Linked DNA regions of Oryctolagus cuniculus. The protein of the gene in region 1 interacts with the protein of each later gene in a pairwise test. Links are inferred from orthologs where the notes say so. Each region holds a gene or a part of one and is shown on either strand. Other genes may lie near its edges.

Region 1 (6,319 bases):
CCTGCTGCTTTCTAAGGTCTGAATTAGCAGGATGCTGGAATAGGGAGCTGGAGTCAAGAATCAAACCTACAAACAATGATATAGGGTGTGGGCTTGGTAATTAGCATCTTAACCACTAGATCAAAGGCCTACCCATAATCTCCATTTTTTAGTCACAAATCTTGAATTATGCCAACTCCTAAAGTCAACACTAACTTAATCAAACTTTAGTAATGTACAAATATTTCAGTGGCTCCTTATAAAATACTTCTTTGTACCTAAGACATTTTAAAAGTTTAAGGTACAACCTACACATTAAATAAGGAAGAATGGATTTCAGATGAACAGCAAACAATAAAAATGTTAGCAGAGTGGTGAAGGTTCTTTAACAGCACCCAAAAAGTGAGTAATGATGGTAAGCAGAATCTCATAAACAAACCTTTAAGTGAAATGAAGAATCAAAGATAGATGGTATGACTCCAGGTTTCAACTTAATATTTGGAGTACTTCTATCAAAATCTGACTTCTTAAAGTGCCTTGAGCATAACACATCTCCTTTTTTAGGTTCCCAAATGCCTGCAGCATTCACATCAAGTCTTTTCATTGCCAATACCCATTTTCTTTTGATGTTTTCATCTGTGGGGAATCTAGAAAAGAATATTAAAAATTAAACAGTATGGATATACTTGAATTAAATCTGTCTTATATAACTGGCTAAGGCTGAATTAATTCCTTCACTAGTTTGTTACCACTCTTGGGAACTGAAATATTCAGGGAACTATGTTTTATGTTTTCATAAATCTCAATTTTAATGTTCAGATTTTCTGCCAATTATGCTGTAGACTGTAGCCCTCATTTCAATTCTTCGCCTAAGGAAGAAAAATTTCAATGGATATTCAGCACTTTATATTAAGATCCACAGTTGAAAGGTTTTTCTTAATCCATAAGTGATAAAGAATGTCCCTTAGCCTTTTCCTATCTGAAGTGATTTCCAGATTTTCTCTCTGGTGAATAGGGCTCCTTGTACTTTCATTTTTCTGTAGCACAAGAAAATTTCTTAGTCCAGCATTTAATATACAGCAGGTCTACAAATGCTTGGTGACTGAGAAGTTGCAGAGTTTGGAGTTCTGGGGATCAGACCTTTTTTGAGAGATCTGGACGCCAATAAATTTCTAAATTTTCCAAGCTGGTTCAGATCTTTTTTGGAATACAGTAGGGTACATGTGGGTAGCAAATCTCTAGCAGATAGCACAGTGCCTGACACGTAAGTGGCAAAATAAATCTTCAGGAAATGAATCATTTTAAAATCTTATTGCTCATTCTCTCCTGCGGTTGTGAGGAGTATAGCTAAAACACTAAATTAGGATCATCTGGACTTACCTGTAATGCAGCTAAACAACCCTCGGTCGAACATGTAATTTATTTTCCTACAACCTATCCTTGGTCTATTTCTAAACAGAAAAGACAGTATATATTTGAGCAAAGCAGCTTCCTTCAGATTGTCAACTACATATAAGCCACACTGAATTTCCTTGAAGGTATGTTAAAATGCAAAGTAATATTAGCAAATTGATTTGGATATATATATATTTTGTTAACTAGTCTCTTGAAAACCTTGGCAGGTATCTTAAACTACATTGCAAAAGTGTAAGGTTGTCACTGTCACTTCAAGTTTAACTGAAAAGGTGATTTTAAAAGCACTTGGGCACTCAAGTTCAAAACTGAATACTTCAACAGAACGATCTTGGCTTTCTATCCGTCAACAGCACTCTGCTTAACCATGGCCGAATCTTACACGTGAAACGTCAGTCCCTTCAATTTGGAATTTGGCAAGCAGCGGGAAGCGCATCCAATGGCAGAGCAACATTTCACCATGATTTTAGCAGCTCATCAAGGAACTGAAAGAACAGGAATACGCGAAGTTAGTGACTTCAGAGCAGCCTGGGAGCCTCCTCACCTCTCCCAGGACGTTTTAGGACACATGTAACAACGCGACAAAGCCGAAGGCCAATGTTCCCTTCCAAGCCCTGCAGCTCTGCGCATCAAATGTTCCGGGGGCTTGGCGCTTTCATAAGGTGAGGGGTCTACCTGCACTTCTGGAGCCTTGCACACGGCCAGCCCCGCGCCCCCCAAGACCTCCTGGCGCGCTAACCGCGGCTCGCCTGGCCGCCTACCCGGGCACCCGGCTCCGGTCAGTGCCTGGCACCTCGGGCCTCCCAGGCCCCCGCTTCTCCCTCGCACTTGGCCGTCATTCTACATTTACCCCCGCGACTCTGACCAAAGTTTTCCTCCCCGCCCGGCCGGGCGCTGCGTGAGGGGGCGGTGGGGCCGTCTATGCTTTCACTTTTTCGTCCTCACGGCTCAGCCGCGGACGGGGCCCACAGTCAACGTGAATACACTGAATGAATGACTGAAGCAAGAGCGAGCAGAGCCGAAGGGGACGGGAGCAAGCAGCAGGTCGCGGCGCCGGCGCGCGCACGGCCCGGCTCCCGAGCTCCAGGCCTGGCGGCGCTCCGCCCCCTTCTCGAGGCTCCCGGCCGCCCGAGGGAGGGAGGGGCCGCCCTGTCACAGGTGCCGGTCCCCTTCCTCGAGGGCCAGCTGGCGTCTGCGCGCCGCTGCAGTCCTCCTCGCTCCGAGACGTGCTCCAGAATTCGGGCCGGCAGCGATGCGGAGCAAAGCAGCAGCGACATAAGAGTAATTACCGTTCGCAGCGAAGACAGCGACTACCATCGACGACAGATATTGCGTCTCCCCTCGCTTCCGCCCCGTCGCCCCGGGAACCGGAAATCGGCCTGCCCCGGGTCACGTGCCCCTCCGCCATCTTGGCCCCGGTGGCAGCAGCGGCCGGGAGGGGGTGCGCCCGAGCGGCGCTGCTTCTCTGGGCGTGGTTTGCATCCTGGGGGAAGGGTCTGTGGTGTGTGAGGGGAGGTGGTGGAGATGGCGGCGACGGCGCGGGAAGATGGCGCCCGCAGCCGGCAGCGAGGGCAGCGGGGCTGCGAGCACTATGACAGAGGATGTCTCTTGAAGGTGACGGCTTCAATGGGCTCATCTCCGACGAGCTTCCGCCGGGCAGGGCTGGGGGCGGGGTGGGCAGGGCGGTGAGGCTTGGGTTTGGAGTTTGAAGCTAGGTTGTTTGTCGGGCTACCTCGCTACCTGAAATGTTTTGGCCAGGCGACCATAGGCCCCGTATTTCTTCCCTGTGTGGTCTTTTGCAAGCAGAAACTCTTTTGCTTGGGATGAGGGTCGGCTTGTGCAAATCCGTTTCCCAATGGGTTTATTCGTCTCTTGCTGCTGGAAGTAGACTGAGGTAGCCCCTGGGCCCACTTCCGGCGTGTGATGAAATAATGAGAGGAGGGTGGGAAACGGGAGACTGGAAAACGAGTTCAGCTCCTGTGGTAATAGTTCAGAGCCTGCTAGCTTCATTTGAGAGGCCATGCAAATATCCAGAGCTGTGAAGGAGAAAATATGTGTGTGAAGTCGGAAGTGTGAGCGCTGTGAAATGGAACATTACGTATGGAAAAGTGCGTCGTGTGTATATATGGCGACTTTTGCTGTTTGAATAATCCGGAGGTTTTTGAATTGGCACCCATCCAATTGAAGTGTCCCGATTTTTCTTGCAAGAAGTGGTAGCTTTTGCTTAGAAAGGTTGAGGGTTGGAGTTGCACGGCCCTGTCTCCAAATCTGAAGACGTTCCCATTAATCGCTGTGATTTGGAGCAAGCTGGTGTTTTAAATACCTCTTATGCTCCACAGGAATGATAGAAGTTCCGCTTCATAAACAAGTATGAGGGTTATAAACTAAAGAGCATATATGGTGTTTTAGCAGGGTGCTTTGCCTGGGATGAGTGTAAATGTAGACCTAGCACCACCGCTGTTGTCATCACCCAGTCGCCGTCCTGAATTCTTTGGTGGTTCCACTTCACCAGCCAGCCGTGCCGATGGTCATTGACTGGAGTCATTAGATACAGGTGGTAGTCTCAGGCTGGGACGAACCACATAAACTCTTTTCTGTAGGCCATGGTTAGGGAAACGTTCCGTTGTGTTGGATGGGGCCGTTCAAATGTTGTGTAAGGAAATGGAATGCTATCCTTACTTTCCATTTCTGTTGAGATATTCTTTTACTCTTTTTAAAAAAAGATTTACTTTATTTATTTGAAAGACAGAGTTACTGATAGAGGTAGAGACAGAGAGAGAGAGGTCTTCCATCCGCTGGTTCACTCTTCAGATGGCCACAATGGCTGGAGCTGTGCCGATCCAAAGCCAGGAGCTTTTTCTGTGTCTCCCACGTGGGTGCAGGGGCCCAAGGACTTGGGCCATCTTCTGCTATCCCAGGCCACAGCAGAGAGCTGGATTGGAAGTGGAGCAGGCCAGACTAGAACCGGCGCCCATATGGGATGCAGGCGCTTCAGGACAGGGCTTTAACCCACTGTGCCACAGCGCCTGCCCGGGAGATGTTCTATTACTCTTTCAAACTTGAGATCTAAAACGAATTTGATATCTTAGACTCTTCTGTCCCCTCTGAAGAAACCACAGAACTAGATCTGTTTCATGGCATTCAGATAGTTGGCCCCGAGTGTCACTTTTTTGCCTTCCTCCTCCCTTCTTTTTTTTTTTTTTTTTGACAGGCAGAGTGGATAGTGAGAGAAAGAGACAGAGAGAAAGGTCTTCCTTTGCCGTTGGTTCACCCTCCAATGGCCGCCACGGCTGGCACGCTGCGGCCGGCGCACCGCGCCGATCCGAAGGCAGGAGCCAGGTGCTTCTCCTGGTCTCCCATGGGGTGCAGGGCCCAAGCACTTGGGCCATCCTCCACTGCCCTGCCTGGCCACAGCAGAGAGCTGGCCTGGAAGAGGGGCAACCGGGACAGAATCCGGCGCCCCGGCCGGGACTAGAACCCGGTGTGCCGGCGCCGCAAGGCGGAGGATTAGCCTAGTGAGCCTTGGCGCCGGCCCCTCCTCGCTTCTAAACATGGGAGGCCAAATAAAGTGTTTCAAGACAAGAGTTATGAACTAGATCAAATGCATTGCTTAAGTAAGATAAAAGCTGAGAACTGAAGTTTGAATTTGGCAAGGAGGTCCCTGGTGATATTGAAGAGGCGTGGCGGTGGAGTGACGGGGGTAAGCCTCATTGGTGTGGACTCAAGAGATGCCATGAGAAGTGAAACTGGAATTACAGACAGTCCTTTTGCTATAAAGGAGAGCAAGAAAAAAAACAGTGAGACCTTGGTTGCTGGGAGATGTGAGATTATGGGATCCCTCCCCCCTTTAAGGATGGAGGTGTTACAACATGTTTGTTTTTTCTTAGAAGAAGTGAGAACATTTTGTAGTGGAGGAGGGAGAGGGTAAACTAGGGGCACGGGCCTTGAGTAGCTAGAGAGGCTGAGATCCTGTGCACAAACAATTGGCCTTAGAAGCCGGGACTGTACATTCTTTGTGAAAGAAGTGAAGGCAGAGGATGAGGCTTTTTTGCGATAGGTTGACCAGGCAGTATGCTGATGCTTTTTCTCTAGCCATATTCAGCTGTTCCTGAGAAAGGCTGAAGAGAGTTGGGTTTAACTCGGTTTAGGTTCCGGAGGACTTTGGTACAGTAACTATGCAGAGGAAGCCAGGAGGGAACTGGGCTGTATGCAAGGGAGGACTGGGATCGAGTTGAAAAGAGAGGTGGCAGAGAAGTTTCCTGCTTGAAACTGGAGCAGCAGTTCAAGTGGTCAGTGGTCCCCGTGGGTCGCTGAGGCCCCTTCAGGGTGTCTGTGAGGTCAAAACTGCTTTCTATCAATGCTGATATATTATCTGTCCTTTTCAGTGTGATGGTGAAAATCAGTGCCTAAAACTGCTAACACCTTTGTATAACTCAAATCAGTGGCACTGAACTGTGCTACACCTGTTGTTTTAACAAAAAGGGCCAGTGAACTAGTGGACAGAAGATCTCTTGATCTCTGTCACTCTGCCTTTCAAATAAATACGTGAATTTTAAAAAAGGGCAGTTTCTCTTACAATGTTGTTAGTGAAGCAGTGACAGTATTTTATCAACTCTCTTTAATGCCCTGTGGAACCAAATGGGACTTTTTCCTCAAGTACTTCAGCAGATTGAAATGAGATGGTTGTTTTGAGGCAGACCTCTTGTGCAGTTGGATTGTGAAGGGAACTGATGGTTCTTTTCAAGGAGTAGCATTTTTTACTTGAAGAAAGTCATTCAGACTTGGATATATTTGGCAGACATTTTCTTGGAAAGGAGGGAAGCAAGACTGTTTATTGCAGGTGATTGAGTTGAAGCTTTCTTGTAAAAATTAAAATTTTGGAAAATTTTATTAGCTTCTCTGAACTTGAAAATTTCTCAAGACCAGA
Region 2 (5,770 bases), on another chromosome or scaffold:
ATGATAAAGATAGTTTTGAAGCTACGGATGGAGATGGTAAATTTACTTTTAATGACTTGTACTTTACAATATAAAGGTTTTAGGAGAACTTTTTAATGTTAACAGCCATCTGAAATAGGACAACTGAAGATAAAATCAACCACATTGGCTGGAAGTTTCAAGAACTGGGAATGAGTTAGTCATGTGGTAGCTCTCCACTGCATTACCCCAGAACTATAGTTCTAAAGAACTAAAAACCTCATAGTTTTTCTTTAAACCTATTTTTATTAACCATAAAAATAATACATATACACTATAAAAATCTAGGAAGTACAGAAAGTTATAGAAGAAAACAAATACCCTCATTATCATAGTTTCCAGATATAATCATAAGTAACATTTTGGTATAGCTTGTCTTTTTATTAAAAAAAAAAGGATATAGGTATCCAAACATATGAAGAACTCTAGGAACAGAGGATTTACAATTTTGTGCTGCTTCTTTAACTTTTTATATTATGAGTGCTTAACTAATATACAGTCTTAAAATATGTTTTAGTGCTCTTTTAGGTTCTATTACATAAAAGTTGCTTGTGACTTTCAGTTATTATTTTGTAGTCAGACATACATAGTTTCTAAAAAAACTAGTAACAGTACTCTGATTTTTAACTTATTGCTAAACTATGAAAGTATATACTCATCTAGATGTGTGGGCACAAAGATTCTGAAAAAATTAATTTTATATAAGAATACCAAGTATTTTTCATAGTGTTGCTAAAAGCTTAAAAAACAAGCTTTAAAAAACATCTAAAAAACATAAAGAAACCAAACTTCTGAAGCATTCATACTTAATATCAGTCATTAATAAGATATTCTCATCTTTAATGAAACTACATATTTCCAATTGAATAACTCCACAGAGACATGTATATCCATCTACATGAACACAGTTATTCAGAAGTGTTACCTTAGCATGACTCCATTCACACAGTTAACACAAGTAAGGACGAGCAAGGCATGCCAGCATCAACTTGAGGGTCACACTCGGTGCATCCAAATGTTAGGAGTTTTACTCTCAGTTGCCACAGAAGAAACCCTCATGAAAATACTCCCCTTAAATTGATGACTCCCTGCCCCTAGCCCTGCCACATGCTAACTGAAAGCTTAATTTTTATCAGGTAACAACTGAAATGCACAGTGACTGTGAGATTCAGCAACTCACTTATTGGTTGTGAGGTCAAAAGCTTCCACTGCAGCTGAAAGACCATCCTCAGTGACACCCCCTGCGACCACGATCTTGCCTTTGTGGACCGCCACTCCAAACATGGAACGCGGGGTTTTCATCGGAGCCAGGTCTTTCCAGTCGCCTTTTTTGGGGTTGTAGATGAACACTCTGTTGGTACACTTTCTGTAATCAGAAAAGAAAACAAATATCCATTTTAAAATATTTTTTGAAAGCAACTTCAGTAGTAAGTTGGCATTGGTTCTCCTATAAAGTATGTAGTGTGACAGAGGACCAGAAAAACTCCACAGAGTTCTTAACGTGAACATTTGCTGCTAGGTAAAGGACAATCCAAATGTGGAAAGCAAAACTATTTTATAAAGTAATTAGCTGGGGGGCTGGTGCTGTGGTATAGCGGGTCAATCTGCCACCTGCAGTGTTGGCATCCCATGTGGGTGCTAGTTTGAGTCCCAGCAGCTCCTTTTCTGATCCAGCTCTTCGCTATGGCCTGGGAAAGCAAGTGTTTGGGTCCCTGAACCCTTACAAGAGACCCTGAAGAAGCTCCTGGCTCCTGGCTTCATATTGGCCCAGCTCTAGGTGTTGCGGCCATTTGGGAAGTGACCCAGCAGATGAAAGACCTCTCTCTCTCTCTCTCTCTGCCTCTGCCTCTCTGTGACTCTGCCTTTCAAATAAGTAAGTCTTAAAAATAAGTAAATAATTATTCTACTTCTAGGCAACCACTTAGGAGTTCAGGAACAGCAGATTCTAATTCTATCTGCTAATAAATTCAATGGAAAACTTTGTTTTTATGCTAGTTGGGTGGGAAAAAAATCACAAATCCTTTATTATGCCTCAGTAATAAGAAATATTAATTTATTAATTTCATTATTTGAATGTTTTAGGAATGAATAAGTTAACTTAAAAATAATCAGGTGGGAGGCTGGCAGTATGGCACAGCTAGCCACAGCTTATGACACTGGCATCCCACATGTGAGTGCCAGCTTGAGTATTTGCTGGTCTGCTTCCCATTTAGTTTCCTGCTATTGTGCCTGGGAAGTCAATGGATGATGGCCCAAGTGCTTGGGTCCCTGCCACCCACCCAACAGGGGAGAATCTGGATGGAGTTCTGGGCTTCTGGCTTCCCTGGGGCCATTTGGGGAATGAACCAACAGATGGAAGATCTCTGTGTCACTCTGTCAAATAAATATTTAAAAATAATAGTAATAGGCAGATGAACACATGCCTATTTTACACTTAACTAATACAATCTCTCATTTTATTTACCATTAATACACAGATGCATTTTAAGAAATGTTGGATATACATTAGACAATGTAGGCATCTGTGCTGATGAGTGATGAGAAGAGTTTTATGTACTAAATGCTCTCAGAAAACCCTGGATTCATCTGAATTATTATTCTTAGTAAAGTTACCCATTACTTAGTGATGAGAGTTCAGAATTCCAAATAATGATTTAACTCTATATATAACAAAGAAATGCTCCAAGTTTTTGTGAGGACAGCTGTTTCTTTCTTCCTTTCTTCCTTTCTCTCTCTCTCTCTCTCTTTCTTTCTTTTGAAAGTCAGAGTTACACAGAGAGAGAAGGAGAGGCGGCGGGGTGGGGGGTGGTGGGTCTTCCATTCCGCTGCTTCACTCCTCAAATGACCATAATGGCCAGAACTGAGCTGATCCAAAGCCAGGAGCCAGGAGCTTCTTTCAGGTCTCCCACCCAGGTGCAGGGCCCCAAGGACTTGGCCCATCCTCTATTGCTTTCCCAGGCCATAGCAGAAAACTGGATCAGAAGAGGAGCAGCTAGACTCGAACTGGCATCCATATGGGGTGCCGGCACTGCAGGCTGGAGCCTTAACCCGCTATGCCACAGTGCTGGCCCCAGGACAGCTGTTTCTTAATCTTATAAAAGGCCAGGTACCTGCAACAGAGGCATTCCCTAATACTAACTATGGGTATCACTTGAAAACTTCTTGGGGCTGGTGTTGTGGCATAGCAGGTTAAGCCACCACCTGGAATGCCAGCATTCCATATTGGCACCAGTTTGAGTCCCAGCTACTCTACTTCCAATCCAGCTCCCTGCTAGTGTGCCTGGGAAAGCAGTGGAGGATGATGGCCCAAGTGCCTGCACCCACGTGGGAAATCCAGATGGAGTTCCAGGCTCCTGGCTTTGGTTTGGCTCAGCCCCAGCCATGTGCCCATTTGGGGAGTGAACCGGAAGATGGAAGATCTCTCCCTCTCTCTTTGTAATTCTGCTTTTCAAATAAATCTTTAAAAAACAAAAACTTCTTGATAAGAACATGATACAAAAGAATGTTCTTCAAATACGTTAGCTATAATTTGTGCAATTCAGTCTTTACTTTTAGATAATGACTCACTCAAAGTTCTTGATGTTGACATTTGTCAAGCAATGTTGTCTTGGTTAATCATACTGTCAAGATTAATATATTCTCATGACAAGAACCGCATGCTTCTTTCTGACATATCATTTTCCTAGTTACTAATGCTACTCGAAGGAAACAATTTAAATCATTTTTGGAAGGGCTCCTGGGTTTCTAAAGTCAGAACACTGCTTAATGGAGATTTTCTATGCCACTTACTCAGGAAATATGCCCAAAATAAGATCTGGCACTAGGTGGTTTATAATATACCTTTGTTTAAATATTCATTTGATGGGAATAGCTGGGATTAAGGAAGATACCAAAATTTCAGAATATATTATTTTTGAATATCAACAGATTGTATGAAAATCGTTGCTTTAAAAATTTGAGAGACAGAGAAACAGGGAGAAAGTGTGAGAGAGGGAGAGAAAGAGCTCTCAACCACTGTTTTACTCCTCAAGTGCCTGCAGTGTCCAGGGGGCTGGTCTAGTCTGAAGCTGGGAGCTGGCAACTCAGTCCAGATGTCCCATGCAGGTGGCAGGAACTCAATTAATTGAGCCATCCCTGCAGCTTCCCAGGGTCTGATCAGTTGGAAGCTGGAATCAGGAGTCAACCTTTTCCAAGACTGGACATCCATGGTAATTAAACAGCCTGGGCAAATGATGACAAGCCAAACTGAGCAGTTTTCAGGGGCAAGAGATGCGATTTCACTTGCTAAACCACAAATGCTTGTTTTAGCAGAAAGCCTACTAGTTAAACTGCCTGACTTCTGGAGTACTGCGAATGCACTTTTCCGAGTTATAAGATCTCTTTCTCAATTATCTATCTCTTGAGAAGCGCCTAGGTATCAAATTAGCCATATACATGAAACTTCATCCAGGTATTTTGACAAGAGCCTGGGCACTAGTGGCAACAGCAGCGATTATGTGTTCTGGTTGATTAGTGCCTGTTTTTGAGCAGTTATTAAATATATTGAATATCCTGTCAGGGAGTGAATACGTAAAACATCGCTGAAGAAGTAACTGTCCTCTTTCCAGTCACTGTACTTTTCAGTTTCAAACTGACCAATCTAAATTCCCTTTTATGAACATAAAGTACAAATCCATGATACTTTTAGTGCACTATTATTTTAGTAGATATATTTTAAATGCCATATTAAAAAGTACATTAAAGTTTTTAATCTACTTATGGCTAAGTGAATAAGAAAACCAGTTAGGTTCTATATAGTAAATAGGAGACTAGATTGTGATCCTAGTGCTCTTAGATGCTGCTTTTCCAACATAAGAAAATTTATTATTGAGCTTACCTAGCATGCCTAGTGTCTACACATTTACTCTTGCAACTTCTGAATTTCATAATTTTCCCTTTGGAAACCATTTGTAATATCTTACGGTAACTTTTCAAACCGCTATTTTTGAAATTTTACCTCCAATATATAGTGAATGGGAATCAAGTCCTATTTCAGTATATAGATTTACATGAAAAGAGGAAGAAACTCTTGTAATAAAAATCATTTGGCTATAAATCATAAGGAGGTTTCAGGGCACTTACTTGTCATCTGTCTTTCCTCCTAGACAATATATCATCCCTTTATGTGAAATCACATTATGGCCGTAGACTTTGATAGGAAGTTTTTTCACTTCGTTCCATTTTGCAGCCCTAAAATTGAATAGAATTTCAATGCTTTTAGTGTCTCTCAGAATGAGAGAATATGAATGTGTTACAGGTACTCGTATACTTGAATGCTCAGGGAGCAGGAATGTCATGCCAACTTACACAGGATCATAGCACAGTACTGAGTCCAGTGAAGCCTCTGTTTGAAGGTCTTTGCCTGCAACTACGTAGATTTTGTCATCCACCTCCCCCAGTCCAAAGAGACACCTGGCTGAAGGCAGCGGTGGAAGTCCGATCCACTCAGATGCTATGTTATCAAGCTGGGGAAAAAAAACAAAAAAAACAAAAACCATGAGGAACTGTGGAACATGTTGAGGAAAGTTACAGGTGCACCACCAACCATGCTATGCTGTATGTGCTGTTTAGGATTTACTGACATCATCAAAGATCTCACAAGTAAAACAAAATTACAGTCCCAAAATATCATATTGTAGCCTAGAATTACCAACAGAATGAGAACATCTACTGGGACTACCAAAACAGATAAAAGTACCAAAATCGCCAAGGC
Region 3 (5,770 bases), on another chromosome or scaffold:
AATTTAACAAAATGACCTTAGTTATCCATTGTGTTAGAGGAGTGGGGTTATCCCACATAAGTGATTTATACACTCAGAAGTCGTAATTGTGTTTTCTGTGGGCATTTTTCTTACATAATGTATCCTGCCTCCACTAGTAGAAGATATGTTATATAATTTAACTTTTATTGATGACTCAGGTCACCATGATGAGCTCCATTTATCTCTCACCTCTCAGTGTTAGAGTTGTCAGTAGTCCTTTCTCCTTTACTGTGTTGTGCCAGCACAGAGCACCAACATTCCGATTTGGGCCACTCTTTCCACCCCCTACCACCATTTGGTTTGTAATTTCTAAATCTCCTGTAGCCTTAGGAAACTAAGCTTGGTTAGTCAAGAAATGACAGTACTGGAAACTACATGCAGGTGAGTATTCAATGGCATTTTCTTTTCAAAGTCAAAAAATTCTGGCAAAACCTTTCTTTAAGGCTAGAGTATGTGTATGTTCAGGGGTAGAGGTAGGTGGAAGGAGGATGGGTATGAAATAATTGAGAATCACCTGCCAGAAGGAGGTATGTATTGAAAATGATTCATTTTTTTTTTTTGCTCCTAGTATACCTTGAGGTTACATGAAGCATAGGAAATGTACGATTCAGTGTCTTTCTGTGTTTCAAGAAAAAAAATGAGTCATTCCGTATTTTTTTTTTCTCCCATACGTGATTATGAGAAAGCATTTTAGTAGTTTTCAATTTGGAATTTGGAAGAGATTGGGAGGCTGTTTACTGGGGATTTTACAAAAAAAAATTTAAAGACTCAGCGCTTCTTCCCTAGGTGCTTTAGATCTAAGAACGCACTGCCATGGACAGAAATATAAGGAAATTCATGATTGGATTGTTAAGTGGGTGGGCAGTGAGGCACTTCAAGTGAAAGCATTATATTGGTAAGAAATTTATAGGCAGAAAGAAAGGGTAAATGCATAATGGAATAGAAACCAGGAGAATGTAAGGTACAAGATACTGGTTTTATGTAGGAAGTTTTGCTCTCCCTGAGAGTGCCTGTGAAATTTTGAAGTAAGTGAAGTCATGATTAAAGGTTTGCTTTTGTCTTTGCTTATTCTCTTTCTTACATGTATATTTTACTTGGAAGTGGTCAGGGCACTGAGAGTTGATGAGGTTGGCTGTACTTTTAAACAAGGAGAGAAGAGTATTTTGATTTTGAGCCCCACAAAGAGTTTTGAGGATCACTAGTCTTGTTTTGAGAATAAGAGTAACAGCATTGAAAGTTTGGGAAAATCGGGGGCCGGTGCTGTGGTACAGTGGTTTAAGCCTCTGCCTGCTGCACTGGCATCCCATATGGGTGCTGGTTTGAGTCCCTGCTGCTCTGCTTCCAATCCAGCTCCCTGCTAATGAGCCTGAGAAGACAGTGGAGGATGGCCTAAGTGCATGGGCCCCTGCACTTACATGGGAGACCCAGAGGAATCCTGGCTTTGGATTAGTCCATCTCTGGCCATTGTGGTCATTTGGGGAGTGAACCAGTGGATGGAAGATCTTGCTGTCTGTCTCTCTCTCTCTCTCTCTCTCTCTCTCTCTCTTTCTCTCTCTCTCTCTCTCTAGCTCTGCCTTTCAAATAAATAAATCTTAAAAAAGTAAAAAAGGTTTGGGCAAATGGGTCCCAAAAACCAAATAGAGGTTTTTTTGCTCTATATAGAAATGTTTAATGCAGGTATTTTTTTTTAAAGATTTATTTATTTATTTGAAAGGCAGAGTTACAGAGAGAGGGAGACAGACAGCGATATTCTGTCTGCTGGTTCACTTTGCAAAAGACCTCAATGGCCAGGGCTGGGCCAGGCTGAAGCCAGGAGCCAAGAGCGTCATCCTGGTCTCCCACATGAGTTCAGGGTCTCAAATACTTGTACTGTCCTCCTCTGCTTTCCCCTACATGTTAATAGGGAGCTGGATTATAAGTGGAACAACCAGAAACAAACCAATGCCAATATGGGATGTTGACCTCACAGCTAGCAACTTAACCCACTAAGCCACAACTCAGTCCCTGGTATCTGTTCTTGATTATCTTTAAGTATCAAAATGAAAACAGGCTTAGCAAGAAGAGGAATGTAAGATAGATCTTTGGAAAGCTGTGTTGGATGTGTCAGTACAAAGGGAATATAGACACATTTTTGCCAGAGTTTGTTATTTTTTTTTAATTTTGTATTTATTTATTTGAGAGTTAGAGTTACAGTGAGTGGGAAAGACAGAAAGGTCTTCCATCCACTGGTTCACTCCCCAGATGGCTGCAGCGGCCAGAGCTGGGTTGATCCGAAGCCAAGAGCCAGGAGCTTCATCTGGATTTCCCACAGGGGTACAGGGGCTGAGGTACTTGGACCATCTTTTACTGCTTTCCCAGGCCATAAGCTGAAAGCCGGATTGGAAGTAGAGCAGCCGGGATGCGAACCGGCACCCATATGGGATGCTGGCACTGCAGGCGGAGGATTAACCTACTGTGCCACAGCACCAGCCCCCAGAATTTGTTCTTACTGATTGAATAAATGCACAAAAGTGAGTTGTGTTTTGGTAATTTTTTTCACCTTGTTCATGAAAATAATAGGTGCTGGGCTGGCATTGTGTCATAGCAGGTAAAGCTGGCACCTGTGATGCCAGCATCCCAAATGGGTACCAATTTGAGTCCTGGCTGCTGCACTTCCAATCCCACTCCTGCTAATTGCCTAGGAAAGCAATGGAGTATGGCCCAACTACTTGGGACCCTTTACCCACGTGGGAGACCCAGAAGAAGCTCCTGGTTTTGAGGAGATCCTCTCTCTATCTTTCTGTCTTACCACCTCTCTCTCTCTCTAACTCTGCCTTTCAAGTAAATAAATAAATCCTAAACAAAAAAATGGGCACTAATAGAAAATTTGGTATATTTGGGGAAAAGCTCAAATGCAGTCTTTGAGATATACCAAAATGTTACCAGTGTTTAGTTTTTCTGATTTTTCTAATTTTTAAAAATTCAGAATTATATACACAGTGACTTACTTTTTTTACTTACATTGTCTTTGGATACATGATGTTAACATTTTTATTTTTTCCACTCACCTTGCTATTCTCTAGATCTAAAAGAACTCAGGCAGAGACTATGAAACTAAAGCGGATCCAGAAAGAGTTGCAGGCTTTGGATGACATGGTATCAGCTGACATTGGAATCCTTAGGAACCGCATTGATCAGGCCAGTCTCGACTATTCATATGCCCGGTGAGTTGGGAAGATTGAATTCAGAGTAAGGAATCTGACTTAAATAATTCATATTGCTAGCTGGACCAGTAGCTTTAACGTATATCATCATTTAAGCCTCGTATCAGCCTCCGTAGGTGTGGCACTTACTCCTCTGTGGTTCTCATTCAAGTATCTTTTTCCTCTGTGTAGCCTTCCTTAACTCTACCAGTTAACCTTGTTCATATGCTTGTTAAAGCATTTCTTATATTATTTATTTACATTTCAATCTTTGTTGGTAAACTATCAGAAATTGAATGTTTGAGACTTTCTCTTTAGTCTTTCAGGATTTATCAGTGTAAATGTCTGAATGACTTGCACCCAAAACTCTGTTACTCTATCACCACGTTTATGCTGTTTCCATTAAAATTTTTGATTATTTGATATGATCTTTATGGGATTGGAACTTTTCTCATTTTAGTCTTCAGCATAGTAAGAAAACCTAGGCTTGCTTGCTTGCTTATTTTATTTATTTGAAAGAGTTACAGAGAGGCAGAGGCGGAGAGAGAGGTCTTCCATCGGTGGTTCACTCCCCAGATAGCCACAAAGGCTGAAGCTGTGCTGATTCGAAGCCAGGAGCCAGGAGCTTCTTCTGGGTCCCCCACATGGGTGTAGGGGCCCAAGGACTTGGGCCATATAGGTTAGTTTTTAAAAGTTTATGAATATTTTAAAGAAAATACCTCTCTTGGAACTTGCAGGTTTTTTTTTAAAGATTTATTTTATTTATTTGAGAGGCAGAGTTACAGAAAGAGAGAGCGAGCTTGCATCCAATGGTTCACTCCCCAAATGGCTCCAATGGCTGGAGCTGGGCCAATCCAAAGCCAGCCACTGTTTTTCTAGGCTATTAGCAGGGAGCTGGAGCAGAAGTGGAACAGCCAGGACTCGAACTAGCACCCGTATGGGATGCTGGTGCTGCAGGTGGAGGCTTAACCTACTATGACACGACATCAGCCCCACAGTTTCTTTCCCTTATGTTTTCCATTTCACCCATAGTATGTACAAAATGGTTTGATATTATATGTTTCCTTGGTTTCAACCATTGGCATTTTTTCAAAGAGAAAAAACTCATCATGGAGTATTTTTAAATGAACTGACACATGTAAAGAATTACATGGACTTTGCAAACAGATAAAAGGGCAAAAAAATGTACTATTTCAGGGTTTTTGTCCCTTCAACATTGCTTTAATCATCTGGGTTTGTCTTTTTTCACAAGAAAATGCTGTGTTAATAACTCAGTTTTGCATCTTTCTCTGTAACACTAGAAATCAATCAGAATGCCTCATTAGTCCAGGGTAAACCACAACATCAGAATGTTTATATAACAATTTAATAAAGCGGAAATGCTTGATTGTGGTTTTTAATTCACTGTTTGGTGTTTAAGAAAAAGGTCTGTGGTTGTCCTTGTGATTTTTAGAATTGTTGTATGGCCATATGCTGTTTGACTTAATGAATTGTCTTTATTAATTAACAACCTAAAGTAATGCCATCAGTAGCTCATAACTAGAAGTTCCAGATTTTTATTAATAATGTCATTAAGAAGGTAACCAAGATTTTAAGATTAAAGTAAGCTTTGATTTTTTACACTTTTATTTTCTGTAACATAAGTTAGCCAGAGGAGCATTTTTATGCCTTGCCAGCCTTTTATATGAATAGTTCATAGTACAAGAACCAGTGCTGAGTACCTCAACAGAAAAATAATATGATTAACATTTTAATTCTATCCTAGTGGAAACTGGAGAAGGATGCCTTTGCATATTGAATGTTATATAAAAATGCCTTGGTTTAGGCCTTCAGAGAACCACAGAGAAGGTGGAATTACTAGTTAAAGCAAAATATATACCATAATGTATGAATATTCTTAACGAAATTTTGACATATTTTTACATAGCAAAAATATATTTTTTGCATCTTTAATAATCTATAGATGACAATTTCTCATGGTATTGATACTTAATGTATGTGTAGTTGGATAGAATTGGATACTATATGAGGCTGTTGTTAAAAGCCTAAGCTCTTGTCTTAGGTCAAAGAGAAACCATAGATAATTGTGATTAGAACTAGGGTTGGGTTTGTTTCAAGCATAAGTTTAGGGCAACATTTTCTGAATTTACATTTATGGTTATTGAAAAATTGCATATTGGTAATATAATATGATCCAGTTTTTAGTGTGAGGTAATCTCCAGTTTCTGTAGGAACTTCATTTCTTTTTAATAAAAGTGATACCTTAGTTCTGTAGTACCTGGTATAATGCAGTGTCCACAAAAGGTTCTTGAATAGTAAATATGCCGAATTCACTTTAAAATTGTTTTCTGTGGAGCGATGTTAGGATAGACCCCTCTGATGAGACCAGCATGAGGCTGCTGCTTATAGCCATGTCTACAATGTTGTCATATGCTGTGCAGACCTGCCTGTGAGAGTGGCTGCATGTAGAATATTTTGTTGAACTCTCAGTATACTGGGAAAAATAATTATCCCTATTTATCCTCTAGGTTAAATAGATAACACCCTGTCCTCCCCCACACACAGAG
Region 4 (5,770 bases), on another chromosome or scaffold:
CCTATTCAGGTTTTTCTGGGTGTCTTTAAGAATGACAATAAACTTTAAATCATTGAAACTAAGGACAGGCTAGGTTATAAGGAAAGATGTGTTATTACTGTGGCTAAGATTAACTAATAATCACAGAATTTGGTGAGCTCCAAAAGGTCTAGATTAACAGTTGAGGTGTTCCAGTGCTGTGCTATGGTGTGGGATCTGATACTGTTTAGGACCCCTGTCCCTTTGTTCTGTGCCTACATGAAGAGCCCAGCCACAGAGCTTTCATCAGTTTTCCACTGCCAATGTGGAAATGTACAAAAAACATACTTGTTGTGTTTTCTAAAGAAGTAATGAGTAGAACTACATCTTTTATAAATATCTCATCTGTAACTTATTTCCAGAAAAAACAGCCAGAAAATTCCTCTTAAATCCATTTTTGGTGCCAAATGGGTATGGTTTTGAGTCCAGGAAATATTATAAGAGGGTACTTCAAAAAGTTTGTGGAAAATATTGACATTAAAAATAAGTTTATTTTGGTACAAAAATGTGTTTAAATCCATGCATAGTTTATGCATAATATGCACTTTCCATGACATTTTTTGAAGATCCCTTTATGTAGGGATTTCAAATTGTTTTTTTGCACCAAAATAAGCTTACTTTAGTTTCATTTTCCCATGAACTTTTTAAAGTACGCTGTGTCTTCTGCCCTTTCCATATTTGAATGATCAGTTGACTAGCTATATTACAGTATGCTGCCTGCCTGCACTCACTGCTCTAGATTGTCAGTTTTCCTCCACTTTAGGAATCTCACAAATTATTGGTCTTTGGTGTATCAGTGTTTCTCACCTTTTTGATCATCCAAGGAAAACATAACTGATGCAAGTGACTCAATCTGCAATTGATTTGAGACTAAGCAACTGATAACTTTTTCTGAAACATATGAAAGACATCTACATTTGCTTTAGAACAATTTTATTTCACAAATACTGAAATCTTGAGGGGAGGTCATTTCATTCAAGTTTGATAATAGAAATTGCTCAGTATTAGAATGCCGATTATTGTGTTCAGTTGGTTTCTTTATGACTGGAGCATCAGCATTCTACCACTTTGTTGTTGGGAAGCATTGTCTAAATCTAAGAGATGAAAGCATAGGAAAGGTTTCTTCACTTTTAGATTGAATTGTCTCATGTATTGTGTTACACCTCACTAGTTAATGTATTCAATATAAGTATAATAAAAGCCATAAATGTGATACTTTAAAATAATGGCTGTGCCAACTTGACCATTGATACTGCTTTCTGTTGGGCCTCTTTAGATGGGTGCATGTTTTTCACTTGTCTGGAGGTGAGTGAAAATGGAAGTAGTGTTTTAAAGATGAGTTTTCTCACCTATACTAGCAAGTTGTAAATATCTCAGGATTTTTTGTTGGTCGGGCCAGTTCTGTAAATGTGATTTTTATCTTTTCTTACTATGCACCCAGTGTGAACATACAGCATGTTCTGCACTTGGCCCTCTTGAGAGTTCACTGACTGAGTCCCACTTTTGTTTCCCACAGGTTATCCAGGCTGTCTTTTTCGGCATCTGTGTGCTGACTGATCTTTCCAGTCTCCTGACCAGAGGCAGTGGGAGCCAAGAACAGGAGAGACAGCTCAAGAAGCTCATCTCTCTTCGTGACTGGATGTTAGCCGTGGTGGCCTTTCCTGTGGGCGTTGTGAGTATGAACACTTTGAATGCATTCAGCCACAAAAGGAACTTGAGTGTTGTTTCAGACTTGTATGAGAAAAACAGGAGATTTGTCTGTTAGTCTTCTGGGACTGCTGTAGCAAAGGACCACAGATTGGGTGGTGTAAACAACAGAGACCAGAAGTTCTGGGGCTGGAAGTCGGACATCAAGGTGTTGGCAGGGTTGGTTCTTCTGAGGCCTCTCTCGCTCTGACTTGGAAAGGGTGTCCTCTCACTGTGTCTCCACATTTTCTTCCTTCTGTGCCTGACTGTGCCCTCATTTTCTCTTATTACAAGGAGAACAGTCATAGTGAGTTAGGCTGCCTTCCTCCCCACTCCAGTGGCCTCATTTAACCTTGATTGTCTCTTTAAAGGCCCTTTCTCCAAACACAGTCACAGTCTAAGGTTCTGGGGTATAAGATTTCAACATATGAATTTTGCAGGGGACACAGTTCAGCTCCTATCTGTTTCCCAAGCAGCTCAGACTTGAAGTGTATGGTCCTTGGCTGATCATTCTAGCGTTTTTGAACTTGGGAGAAGAAATTAATGTTATTTCATACTTCTTCACTCACTCAACTGTACCATTAGCTAATGTCACTGAAGTAAATGCTGCTTAATGTTTGGATCTATAATTTTATTGATTTTCATTGTTTTCTGTTAGATTTCCATCCCATAGTCCAATCTCCTTCATGAGTCTATGAATTTTCCACTGTCTGCATGTGAACGAGATGCTTTAAAGGGCCCATGAGACTATATAGATTTTTATCTATGTGTAGCCAGGAGAAGAATAAGAGAATTCTTGTATGTCTCAAATCATGAGGACAAGTCAGAATTTGTTACATAATTCAAAATCAGACCTTTCATCCACCCATTGATTTCTTGGAAAATGGAAGCACCAGTCACATGGTCTTGCATCTGTGCCAGTTCCAACACTCATGGTGGGAAGAGTCAGAAAATTGTTCTCCTACTCTTTCCAGTAGCTTTTATTCATATTTTCCAGGTCTGTAGCTGGCAGGAGCTTTCCCACACTTGCTGCATGAAGACCACCAGTTAGTAGGCACTCACGTTGTCACTCAGTTGCCATTTTAGTGTGTTGAGCTGTATTTTCTTGGTGAAATAGCTCTTAACTCTTGAGATCAACAAAAGGGTAGGGAAGCATTGTGATCTGGTGATACTCTTCTTCTCATAGCTTCATTCTTCTGAAAACCCAAATAAATGGGTGATTGAAACCATCTAGCAGAACTCTCTGTTTAAAATAGCAGGATCCAATGCTCTATGGACTAGTTACTATTTTTTTAACTTACCTAATAAAATTCAAATTGTTTCCATCAGAATGGTTATCTAAGAAAAAATTTCCACTGGCTTAATGTGTAAAGATATGTTTTCTTCTTTTTTTTTCTTTAGAAGACTTATTTACTTGAAAGGCAGAGCATCAGAGAGAGAGAGACAGACAGACACAGACATAGAAAGAGAACTTTTATTCACTGATTCACTCCCCAAATGGGCCAGGGCAAAGCCAGAAGCCAGAAACCAGAAACTCCATCTGGTCTCCCACATAGGTGGCAGCGGCCCAAGCAAGTGAGCCATATTCCACTGCCTTCCTTAGTTGCATTAGCAGGGAGCTGTATTGGAAGAACAACAACTGAGGCTCTAGCTGGCACTGCAGTATGGGATGCCAGGGTCACAAGTGGTGGCTTAACCCTCATTCTGTGCCAAACTGCCGGCTCCAGGACATGCTTTTTGTGTAAGAGAGTTATCTAGAAATTTCAAGTTGTGTGTGTGTGTATGAATATGGTATCAAACTGTGTTTCTACAAGAAGACTCTGTCTTACATTATGAACCTTGCAGCTGTCTTCAGTGGCTCATTAGATGTTAATGACATTTCATTTACGGTAAACTTTTGCACCTTTTTGTGCTTGAGACTTGAGGTATCCGTCAACTTTTGTGTCCTTTCTTCATTTAGCCCACCTGTGTTTCATAGTTTGTAAAGTGAGTGGTGCCTTTATTTATTTTTTTCTTGTTTCATTACATCTGATGTTTTCCTTCATTTTTTACTGGGTGTTGTTTTGATTCTGTTTTAGAATAAGAGAGAGGAATAAAAATACCTTTCTTCCTCACCCTCGTTTTTAACCAGAAGCCACATTTCCATGACAGGTGTGTGTGCGTTTCCTGACAGCAGGACTGGTTTTTGCAGCATTGCTCCCTGGGGCCTGCCATGCTGCCTAGCTCGCAGGAGGTGAACTGTTTTCTTTAAATTCATAGAAGAAATGGAAGAATCAACAGTGTTGAATCAGAGGTGTGCAACTTTGCTGATTTCTTTAGCTCACTTTTCTTTGCTCACTGATATTTCACGGTCATTATTTCCATTTTTCACAATCGTTTGTGATGTGTGAGTTACTTTTCCTTTTACAGTCTCTATCCTGTTATTTTTTCTGAACTTTTAGAAGTTCCTTGGCTACATTTCTTTCTGTTCTCTATCTCTGTCTCTCCTATTAAGAAGAACTTTGGTCAATATTCTCTAGAAATACTGCATTTTCCATGGTTTCTCCTGTTTCCTTCTTACTCTGTCATTTCACTTTATATATGTATATATTCCCAATTTACATCAGATTTCTCCCTCCAGTACATAGAAATTCATTTTGAGTGAAAAAAAATTAACCAATCTCAACAAATGCCTTCTTTTAAGATCTCATTCATTTTATTTCTAAGTTATGTCTATAGAAGATTTGAATGTGGCTATTTAATAAGTATTTTAGCCTCAAGATTTTTTTTAATGAAAACATGTACTTGTGTGAATTCTTGCCCTTTCTCTGAGGTTATCTCCAGCTTTCCTTTCTGTTGAGTCTGTATATTTGCTGTAGCTTGAAAGGTGTCCACATGTCCCTGTGTTCCTTTTTCTGTGTCCTGTACTGCTCAAAAAGGTTTAGAATCCCACTGGAAGTTTATTCATATGACTTGAGACTTCCTTCCTTATTAAAGTGCCAAACCATTCCTGGTGCAAAGCCAAATTGCTTGACGAGGCATCCTTTTTATGATTCCTGTGCCTCCTGGCCAAGAAGGAAGTTGCCCGGCCTGGAGGGCTGATCACGTCAGAAGGATGAGAATAGCAGTGATGCCCAGGACTGGATGGATGCAGCGTTGTAATGCCTGTGGGAATCTGCAGTAGAGAACGCTTTATCATGTGTGCAGATGATTAATGATAACATTTACAAATCAACATCTCTTACTATTTCGGGTGGTGCAGTTGAAATCCTATGGAAACAAACACCCAGTGGAATACTGGGTGTGGCTTGAACATCCTCAGGTAGACAGTGCACAGCCTCAGCTCCGAGCAATCTGGGGCCCCAGAAGTCTCCCCTGCTCTGCCAGGGGACTGCCAGATTCGCTGAGTGGCTTCCTCCACTTCACATTTTCTGCTTGTCAATCGGAAGTTTACCGGGAAAACAAGGTTATTTTTGCTTTATGATGTGGGGCAGAAAGGCTGTGGGCATAGAAAGAGAGCAAAGAATGGTGGCTGAATTTATCACCTCTGCTCAGGGTTCTCTGAAGAGCCTCTTAGCCCCGAGCAAATTTTCCTGGGGCTCCCATTATCTCTGTCTCACCTCAGTTGCAACCAAGGCAGCAAAGACAGACCCGGGTAGGTTATCTAGGTTTTGTGCTTTCTACACTACATCTTCCTTCAGTACCGAGGTTAATTGAAAGTTGACGGTAATTGCTTTATGTGAGCTTGCAGTACTAAATATGATTCTGTGACCCGCAGACCTAATGTATCTATTTCCTGGGCTCTCTTTATTTCAAGGATATATAAAAAATCATGAAGCATTCCAATCAGAGATAATTGGAGTAAAGTTTTGTTTCTGCATAACCTTGAAGGCATCAGGCAGGGTTGCTTGAGTGAGCATCACATGTATCATCCTGATTTCTGTAGATTCCCATAAATGCAAAGCTGGCCTTGATTAGTAACGCTAATGGCCGGAAACCACCACCACTCCCAGTGCCTTGCAACTCATTTTGCAGGGATCACTCAAGGGAGGCTCTTCTTACCACGTGCAGTTTATTTCTGAACCTT

Evidence for each region.
Region 2: the proteins of RCHY1 (region 1) and KLHL41 interact in binary tests that used the Homo sapiens proteins (3 or more experiments, as listed by UniProt). The two-hybrid records come from large-scale screens. The link is inferred for Oryctolagus cuniculus from reciprocal best matches to the Homo sapiens genes RCHY1 and KLHL41.
Region 3: the proteins of RCHY1 (region 1) and GORAB interact in a two-hybrid assay, tested with the Homo sapiens proteins (3 studies listed by BioGRID and IntAct). The link is inferred for Oryctolagus cuniculus from reciprocal best matches to the Homo sapiens genes RCHY1 and GORAB.
Region 4: the proteins of RCHY1 (region 1) and AIG1 interact in binary tests that used the Homo sapiens proteins (3 or more experiments, as listed by UniProt). The link is inferred for Oryctolagus cuniculus from reciprocal best matches to the Homo sapiens genes RCHY1 and AIG1.

Annotation. Positions count from the first base shown.
Region 1 is NC_091439.1:90,385,812-90,392,130, forward strand, and holds the start of RCHY1 (RING finger and CHY zinc finger domain-containing protein 1), read left to right. Parts: upstream 1-2,507; 5' UTR 2,508-2,916; coding exon 2,917-3,006; intron 3,007-6,319. Other genes in the region: THAP6 (THAP domain-containing protein 6), read right to left, coding at 419-626, 1,775-1,854. UniProt on the Homo sapiens protein: E3 ubiquitin-protein ligase that mediates ubiquitination of target proteins, including p53/TP53, TP73, HDAC1 and CDKN1B. Mediates ubiquitination and degradation of p53/TP53; preferentially acts on tetrameric p53/TP53.
Region 2 is NC_091434.1:71,568,000-71,573,769, forward strand, and holds part of KLHL41 (kelch-like protein 41), read right to left. Parts: intron 5,523-5,770; coding exon 5,365-5,522; intron 5,248-5,364; coding exon 5,140-5,247; intron 1,385-5,139; coding exon 1,199-1,384; intron 1-1,198. UniProt on the Homo sapiens protein: Involved in skeletal muscle development and differentiation. Regulates proliferation and differentiation of myoblasts and plays a role in myofibril assembly by promoting lateral fusion of adjacent thin fibrils into mature, wide myofibrils.
Region 3 is NC_091438.1:28,442,318-28,448,087, forward strand, and holds part of GORAB (RAB6-interacting golgin), read left to right. Parts: intron 1-3,083; coding exon 3,084-3,224; intron 3,225-5,770.
Region 4 is NC_091436.1:25,489,209-25,494,978, reverse strand, and holds part of AIG1 (androgen-induced gene 1 protein), read left to right. Parts: intron 1-1,534; coding exon 1,535-1,690; intron 1,691-5,770. UniProt on the Homo sapiens protein: Hydrolyzes bioactive fatty-acid esters of hydroxy-fatty acids (FAHFAs), but not other major classes of lipids. Show a preference for FAHFAs with branching distal from the carboxylate head group of the lipids.